2 linked regions of the Drosophila melanogaster genome follow. The gene in region 2 interacts genetically with the main gene of each other region. Each region holds a gene or a part of one and is shown on either strand. Other genes may lie near its edges. The genes, in order: PGRP-LE and Fadd.

What was found.
Region 1: of Fadd (region 2) and PGRP-LE, changing one suppresses a phenotype caused by changing the other (phenotypic suppression), as found in Drosophila melanogaster (one study listed by BioGRID).

What each region holds. Positions count from the first base shown.
Region 1 is NC_004354.4:15,800,447-15,805,634, forward strand, and holds PGRP-LE (peptidoglycan recognition protein LE), read right to left. Parts: upstream 3,435-5,188; 5' UTR 2,881-3,434; intron 2,645-2,880; 5' UTR 2,262-2,644; coding exon 2,063-2,261; intron 1,994-2,062; coding exon 1,694-1,993; intron 1,631-1,693; coding exon 1,517-1,630; intron 1,302-1,516; coding exon 1,237-1,301; intron 1,165-1,236; coding exon 805-1,164; 3' UTR 707-804; downstream 1-706. Other genes in the region: CG15602 (uncharacterized protein), read left to right, coding at 1-127, 193-450. UniProt on the Drosophila melanogaster protein: Peptidoglycan-recognition protein that plays a key role in innate immunity by binding to murein peptidoglycans (PGN) of Gram-negative bacteria and activating the imd/Relish pathway. Has no activity against on Gram-positive bacteria.
Region 2 is NT_033777.3:22,032,414-22,036,300, forward strand, and holds Fadd (Fas-associated death domain), read left to right. Parts: upstream 1-2,041; 5' UTR 2,042-2,149; coding exon 2,150-2,869; 3' UTR 2,870-3,204; downstream 3,205-3,887. Other genes in the region: CG6015 (uncharacterized protein), read right to left, coding at 1-346, 407-885, 951-1,668; CG45099 (uncharacterized protein), read right to left, coding at 1,669-1,773; pit (pitchoune), read left to right, coding at 3,422-3,602, 3,663-3,884.

The sequences.
Region 1 (5,188 bases), on a different chromosome or scaffold from region 2:
GAGACGTCTGCGAGCTCTGCGCGATACACCCGTCGATTCCGATGCATGCCCATCGAGATCCCAGATGGAAAGTATCGCGGACAACGAAGAGGATGACGAGACACTTCTACAGAACATATTGAAAAAGGTTCGCATTTATATAGTAGCATTATTTTTTTTAAGCCAAATCATCACTTTCGTATTCCCATTCAGTATGTAGCAGAATCGCGCTTACCAGAACCTTCCGAGAGTGAAATTAGTCCAATTAACACTGAGTCGCCCGGCAACACCGAAGAATTGCCCTGGTGCAATATTTGTAACGAAGACGCCGACTTCCGATGCCACGGATGTGGTGGGGAACTCTTTTGCACTCTATGCTATAAGGAGTGCCACGATGATGACGAGGAGTACCGTGCTCACGTTAAGGAAAAGTATTCGGCTCCGCCAAAGCTTAAAGAAAATCACTTCTAATTGTTAATTGTTTACTTGACTGTACGCAAATTTTTGTTTAATTATAGATTGTTTTCAGCAAATGCATTACTATTGTCTGTATTTATGTGGTGCTAGCTCGCTCATATTTGTGCAGTATAATTGTTGCTTCTCTTTCAGTTGTGAATTAAAACAGGTAGGCGATGTTGGTTCCGAAACATCTTGTGGTTTTTCCACCTTTCAGCGCTGCAAAAACTATACCAAAATATAAAGTAACTTAACGAAACTGCCAGTAGCTGGAAAATTTATAAACAGGTGATTTAATGTTCAACATTATAAACGTAACTCGGGTGCATTTAAGTCTAAGTATGTGAAATGGTGCTCTTCTTTTGTCCCTCATTGTTCCTCCTCCTCGATATTGTAAAAGTGGGGCCATGTCTGTATCTCCTCGTACAATCGCCGACCAGGACTCTCCGTCGAATTGCACTGGCAGTGACAAATTAATCTATAGTCGGTGGATATGTGACCATCCTCAACGCCGCGGGCCAACAGATTGCGGCACATATTCAAGGCGTCTGCCGTCGGGAGTTCTTTCATGAAGCATCCAATGAAACTGATCCCCAGCGAGATCCTGTTGTAACCCAGAGTGTGGGCGCCCACCGTTTTCCATCCGCGTCCCTCGTAGATGTTGCCATCGCAGCCGACCAGGAAGTTGTACGCAATGTCATTCCATCCCCGCGACTCAATGTGGAAGCACTGAAATATATATACATAATTATTATATAGTTCGGAGCATATATGATTTAATTTCGCTAACGAAATACTTACCTGCATGTCACGGATAAGTCTTACGTTGATCGCCCGCTTTTCTGAACTCTCTGTAGCTGTGTGTACTGCGTGGTAAAACAATATTTGTTAATCAAGGTTTTAAATATATTCGAAAAGAGTTATAATACGATATAATCTTAGGTTAGTGAGTGCTAAGCATGATGGTCAGATCAAATAGTATAAATTGTTTTAATTATTGCGTCATACTTTTACAGACAACTTGATTTATAATCAGTTGGCAAAAAAATGGTTAAAACGTGCAGCAAACTTGAATACTCACAGATAACCACATATTTAACAGGCAGTTGCAAGGGCAGTGGCTCGTCCATGGGCTTCTGTGCTAGCCACGAAGAGCGCGGAATGATGGCGGACAGCTCCTTGGGTATTTTGAATTCTGTAAGTGAAATCGGTATCCTATGGTTAACGTGTATGCATCCCCTGGTGAATGATAGCTTACTCTGGCGCCTGATGAACACATCCGAGCGCACCCTCTCCTCCGACTCGTCCTGATAGTCGTCTTCGAAATGTGTCGGAGTTTTGGGAGCGTTATCTCTCGGTGGTGAAACATGCCGCCGATCTCTTCGGTTTTGAGTAAGGCCATCGGCTATGATTTGTATATTTCCATTAATATTGGTAACATTGCCGATATGGACGTTCGTGGAGTTGCTTATATTAACGTTGCCCAAAGTCTGAATGCTGTTGATCGAGTTCATAAGGTCCCTTATGGTGTCGCTGATGATCGAATGCTTTTTGGTAGCTTTAAGGTGGGGATATATTGAAAGTGTTATAAATTGAATATAGAAACTTGATCTTGAGTACTACGCACCGATTTGAGTGCCTAGTGTCATAGTGCTGATTTCTTCACTGGTATTTTGGTCGGCATCCTCCTCTTCCTCGGTATAATCGTAGTCCAAGCTGTCCACAACCGAGGACTCTGCAATGGACTCCAGTTCCTCGTCCTCCTGACTAGCCAACCATTCGCGAGTCCGCTCCTGGCTCAACTTTTTGATTCCCGATTCGGACATGTCCGTAGTTTTGGCTTCTGTTTGCTGCCAATAAATGCGCGTGTATCTCTCGGCTGGCCCTTACTTTGTTTATCAATATTGTGAGTTAGAACTGCTCTATTCTCTGATTAGTGTTCGTGTCGTGTCCACCTTACACGATAAGATAAGGACGTTCCACAGGCTATCCACCATTATATGCGCAGGTGCCGTGGTGAAATGCTTTTTTGCATATCAGTCCACTTGGGGCTTTTTTTTTGCATATTTAGTCATGTGTATTAATTATTGTCATGGATATCGAGGATCAGTCTAGATATCGATAAGTATTATCGATGTTCGCATTTAGAACAATTCCACTGCCTTTGAAGGGAGCTTAGCGGTATCGTACATACAGTGGGCCGCATCCACTAGTTGAGTTTCAGATTTCGATAAGTATTTGATTAACCATATAAAGCTTACAAAAATTTAAATACGAACAAAAAAAAATAGTTTAAATTATCCCTCTTTAACCGTTTTGGACATATATTTCTGTATACATATATATATTGTTCTATGAAAATATATAAATATATATAAATAAATAAATAAGTAAATAAATATATATAAATAAATAAATATAATATATATAAATATATAAACATACAAATGCTTTGTCCAGATCCGAAAACCCCTTATCACTGGCTAAAATATAACCAGTTTGGTTCACCAATCAAATCGACTGGAGGTACAATGCACCCAGTGCTGGAAAAGATGAGCTTTCCAACACTCTTGCCTATATTGGGCTTTAATGCTAAGCAGTTAACTGCAACACTGCACCGTGTTTGATAATAAACCTGTAGAGGCAGGTGATTACACCCAAGTCAGCCCATCTTTAAGCATTAGTCATGGGGCTAGAGGTACTCAGATAAACCACCAAAACCTAATTCATGCGCTGTAAACATTCACTCGACCACTCTCGCGTATGCGCTGTTCTTCCCTCCAAGTCTCTCAATTACTTTCTTTATTTTTATATTTAGTTACTGCTGGCTATTCAAGCCAACCAAAGAGCTACCACAACACGGATTTAATAGTCACTTAGAGCCATTAAAAGAGAATAAACTAAAATGTAACCAACTTATAAACTAATTTTATACATTGCTTAAGCGATAGTTTGACGTATAAAACTGAGGAGCTTATATTTATTACTTTTGACTGCACAGTGGAATGCATTCAAAGGTCTGTTTATGTTTTTGTTCCGGTGTGACCGTATTCCGAACAGGAACACAGTCTAATTTAAAAGTTAAATTAAAAGCATATCAAAAAGTGAAATAAACTTTTTAAATATCTTCGCTAATTGGACAAACAGCTTAAATATATTGTAATCAACAGATAACCTAATCAAATATACCAAAATAGGCATTTTTTAGTGGAGTTCAAAAAAGGGCGGCAATCACCTTCAGCTGAATCAGCTGTCAAATAAAGTGAAGCTTTGGTATTAAAGCTTTTAACATAATTTAGGGGAAGAGAAAACATAAAAATGTATGAAAATGAAAGAGAAAAACGGATTCTCTTTATGTAAAATCTTAGAATTAACGCTCTCTTAGGTTCCACAATTGGTTCCGATTGGAACCGCGCACAAAGAGAGCGAGGAAGAGAGCGAGAGAGTTTCGAGTCGAATTGGAATGGCCAGAAAAATATATTTCTGCTTTCAGTTTCGAAAAATTTTTCGATGGAAGCAGCCGAGTGCGAATGCGAATGCTCAATGAGAAGAGCTTTTACTGTTTTACTTTTTGCCTGAAATACATTTTGAGATAATTTCTTATTGGTAGTTCTGTTTATGCCATCGCTTGCGTCTGTCTGTGTTATTTCGATTGCGAGAGCTAGTTAACATTAGTTAAAATTAAAACAAACGCCAGCCATAAGATATAATCGAATTGCGGTTTTTTCTTCTCGTACCGAATTTCCATCCACATCCGCATCCACCATCCGCCATCCGCCAAACCCATCCCGTTCCGTTTGTTCGTCGCTATCCGTCGGATATGTTGTTCTATCGGTGTACCGTACAAGTACAAGTTCGTACCCAGTCCAAAGCCAAACAGATTGCGCCGTGTGCCGGTAAAAATAAGCGCAAAGTTTGAGAAAAACCATCAACATCAGATGATGTGCCCTGGAGGAAAAAACGTCGCGGATTTAATGAAATCTTAAATAATGGGTTCGCTTTAGCACAATTCGACGTTGCATTCGGCCAGCGGTGTGTTGTGTAAACAAAGTTGTAGTTATAGTTTTAGTTTAATTAGCTTCGCATAAGCTGCAACCGGATCTGAAACAGACCGTGGAAACAAAAAAATAATAATAATAATAATAATAATAATAATTGCATTTCATGTATGCCAGTGTAAATTTGCGTTCGTGTGTGCTAAGTTTACATATAGAGAGCGTGGAGTGGATTGGGATTGGATAGTGTTGGATTGGATAGTATCCCTATCCGATTCGCGCCGTTATTGTTAATGCGCAGGTAATTCGGAGCGCTTTTCGGCCATTCTGCCCAATACCAATATTTTGTTCTACATCGTGTTTTTATTTTTATTTTTTTTCCAACATTTTTTTTGCTGTGCTGTGCAGTGCTGTATGCGTTTATTTGACAGCTTATGAATCACCCACAAAGATTTATTTGTGCTGATTGCAGCACAACTGTTGCACCCCATTCAAAAAAAAAACAAATAAATAAATTAATAATCACAAAAAACACCCGCACATCGTCTTCGGGAAAACTACTGAAGCGAGTTGGGCCAGCAAAAAAAAAAAAAATACGTATAAATACAAATAAACAAATAATACCCAAGCCATTGTTCCCCCTCCTTAACGATTATAATTACGTTGCTTTTTTTTTTGCAGTGCATTTATTAAGGAATCCGTCTGATATCAGAACAACCTTAACTAACGCCTTTAAATCAATGATATGGTGGCCAATT
Region 2 (3,887 bases):
GCGAAAAGTCCAGCTGGCAGGCGTAGCCAGAGACCATGTGACCGGTGAAGGTCTTTTTGCGGTTCATCTTGAAGCGATTGAGGGCGGAGAAGATGACGATCTTGTTGTCTAACGACTGGCAGGCCATCCATTTGCCATTGGGCGCCAATGTGACCGCCGGCATGGAATGCATAGTGGGGTCGGCAATGTACTTCATGTCCACAGGAATGTCCCACTCCCATATGCGCATCGATTTGTCGTCCGAGGTGGTCACAAACCGTCGGTTGTCGTCCACAAAGGTGATGGTGCTCACAGATCCCAAGTGCCGGTCGTATTCCTGTACAATATCACCGCTGCGAGTGTCCCACTGCGAATTGATAGGAAAACAATTGTAACATGAGCATCTACTTTTGTAAATTTTACTTACACAAATGATCTTCTTGTCGGAGGTGCCGGCAACGAACAAATGTTGCTTGCTATTATCCGGATGGAATTTCACACAGAAAGGCATTTTACGCGTTGTGAATCGGGACACTACATCGCCCGTTTCGGCATCCCACAACTTTATGTAGCGATCATACGAGGCAGACAGGAAGTTGGTACCCCTGTTGTTCCACGCAATATCCTTGATGGCCTGCCGGTGACCGGAGAAGGTGCGTATGCAGCGTCGCTCGCCGTAAACCTCCCACAGTTTGACGCGACAGTCCATCGATCCGGAGAGCAGAAGATGAGCGGTCTTGGGGAACCAGCGGATGGAGGAGATGCCCTTGTTGTGGCCCGACCAGGTGTGTATGTGCGCCTTGGGCAGAAAGCATTTGGTCGGTGGTGCATTCGATCGTAGATTCACGCCCAGATCATGAGGAGCATGCAAATAAGAGCGGCCCTGATAGTCGTACGCATCCTTGACTGTGGAGCAAAAAAGGAAAAGATTATTAACGATATATATTCGGTGGCTATTGGATTAAACTCACTGTGCAGCGTCGACTTCTCCTCGAGCGGCTTATCCTCGGGAATGCGTCCGCGCTTATGTCGCTTAGACAGCAGCTCGTCCAGTTCGGCGCGCTCCTGTTCATTTGGCTTTGCCACCGACACCTCGTTTTCGAACTTGCCCCAGGGACCCAGAAAGCCCTCAATGTCCTCGGGATTATCATTTTTCTCCTGCTTGCGCAGTTTCTTTGCCTTGGGCGGCTCAAATACCGTCTTGCCATTGTCATCGTACGCAGACTGCAGGTCACCCACAAAAGACTGGCCGTCCGCCTGATCGTCTACGCTGGGGTCCAATGCGTAGCCGTAGGTGTGAAAGGTGCGTCGCTGGTTCTCAAATTCGAAGGCATTGATGTGGGCCTTCTCTACGTAGCCGGCTAGGGTGTTCCGCGGAGCGCGCTGCTGCATGGTGAGGTCCGGATGCTCCGGACCTTTTACCGGAGCATACATCTCCTCATAGCGCGGATTGTAGGTTACCTCCTTGAGCGTGGGATCCAGAGTTCGGGGCACGGCCGATGCTCCAAGGGGAACCACCGTTGGCGCCGCACAAACAGCAATGGACTTGGATAGCGAGTGTGTCTTGTCCACGGGCAGCAGGTGATCCGGAATGGGAGCGGAGGGCTCTGAATTCGTGGTGGCTGTGGCGGCGTCCGCATGGTCCGATTCTTCATCCGAGGAACTGGCGTATGACTGAAGGCCCAACATTTAGAGGCTGCGGACGAACTCTGTGTACTTGTTAACGAAATGCTGAAGGTAAATCAAGACCAGAGTGTAGAGGAGGAATACGAAAACGTTAATGGATATTTCCATTCGTCTACACGTTTGCGTTTATCATTAGTTGCTTCAGTAAAAGTAACAAAAACATAAATATATATCTATCAAAACTAGGGATGGTGCGTGCCATCTGTTATCGATGTTATCGAATGGCTATGTAACGGTCTCACTAATAGATCCCAAACATGCAAGGTGGTGCAAGTTTAAAGCTTATTTTAAATTTTTTAAGTTGTATGGAAATAGTATTTGATATTTTTTTGCTCATTTTGCTCAAACACCTATTCAGTGCTGATCGATAACAGGTAAGGAAATGTTTGGCCATACGGTCATACTACATCAGGGAGTGAAGTTGCGTTGATACATTTTGGGAACTTAAGACCGCTGAAAATACCGTCTCTGTAAATTAGTCACAATGACTGCAGGCAGGCACTGGAGCTACGACAGCCTCAAACAAATCGCCATTGATGGATGCACCGAGAACGTGGAGCAGTTGAAACTAATTTTTGTCGAAGAGATTGGTTCGCGACGCAGATCGGATTGCATACGAACCATCGAGGATTTAATTGACTGCCTGGAACGAGCGGACGAACTATCGGAGTACAATGTGGAGCCACTGCGCCGGATATCAGGCAATATGCCACAGCTCATCGAGGCTCTGAGCGCCTACACAAAGCCGGAAAACATTCTTGGACATCCGGTTAATCTGTACCAGGAACTCCGATTGGCCGAGGAACTTCGTCAGCAGCTCCGTATTGCTCCAGCTTCCCAGAATGCTCAGCCATCAGTTTCGGAATTAGCTGCCGCTGTGCCTCCAACAGCAATCCAAAACTATGCCACCCCAGCTGCTTTTACGGATCACAAACGAACGATGGTCTTTAAGAAAATATCCGAGGAACTGGGTCGCTATTGGCGACGACTGGGCCGATCGGCGGGCATTGGCGAGGGCCAAATGGACACAATCGAGGAGCGCTACCCGCACGACTTGAAGTCCCAGATTCTGCGACTGCTGCAGCTCATCGAAGAGGATGATTGCCACGATCCCAAGCACTTTCTGCTTCGTCTGTGTCGCGCCCTGGGCGATTGTGGTCGCAATGATCTGCGCAAGAGGGTGGAGCAGATAATGTCGCACTAGAACGCATTCACTTATATGCACTTTATATGCATTTTGTTACGATACTAGTAATTAATGTGCTGGAGAGCGACAAAGATGTGCCTTTATTGTAATTATTCACATGTTATTCCAAGGTTGGACAGAGCATAAAAATCGCACACTAAATTAATATGTGTCAACGCGGAATTGTACGATCTTATAAGAAAATGTGATTGACGTATTCCATTCAAAATGGGAATTCACATTTCCTTATCATAAGATAGTCTACAAAAAATATTGTTAACTCGTAATACACAAGTCACATAGTTGAAGATAGCAATGTACAATGGATATAAAATACGTTTTGCAAACGCTTTTGCTTCTCTTATCCTCAAAAGACGGTTGAAAATTTGTTTACAAATAGGGTCACACCTTTTGCATTGAACTATCGAATTGGCAATTATCGATAGGCACAGCTGGCTGAATATCGTTTGCTTCGGGGTGAATGGTTAGCAACACGTGCGCGCAATATTTTATTTGAGAATTCTGTTTTTAACCATTAAACTCTATTAAAAAGCATACATAGTTAGCAATATGTCTATTCGGGAGAAGCTGCTGATGAAGAAGATCGTTAAGCGGGAGAAGATGAAGAAGGAGCTCTCGCAGAAGAAGGGAAACAAGAACGCCCAAAAGCAGGAGCCACCCAAACAAAATGGCAATAAACCCAGTAAAAAACCGGAGAAACTCAGTAAAAAGCATGTGGCCAAGGATGAGGGTACGATTAAAAACGTGTGTGCCTAATAAATATATGTAAGATTCACTTTTCGACCCGCAGATGACGACTTAGAGGAGGATTTCCAGGAGGCGCCGCTGCCCAAGAAGAAGCAACAAAAACAGCCTCCAAAAAAGCAACAAATTCAGGTGGCCAACTCGGATTCGGAATCAGATGACGATGAGCAGGAGGATGAGGCAGATGAGGATAGCGATTTGGACGAAGTAGCCGAAGTTGATGAGGAGGATGTTGACAGCGGGAGTGAAGATGATGACCAGCAGGAAGGTA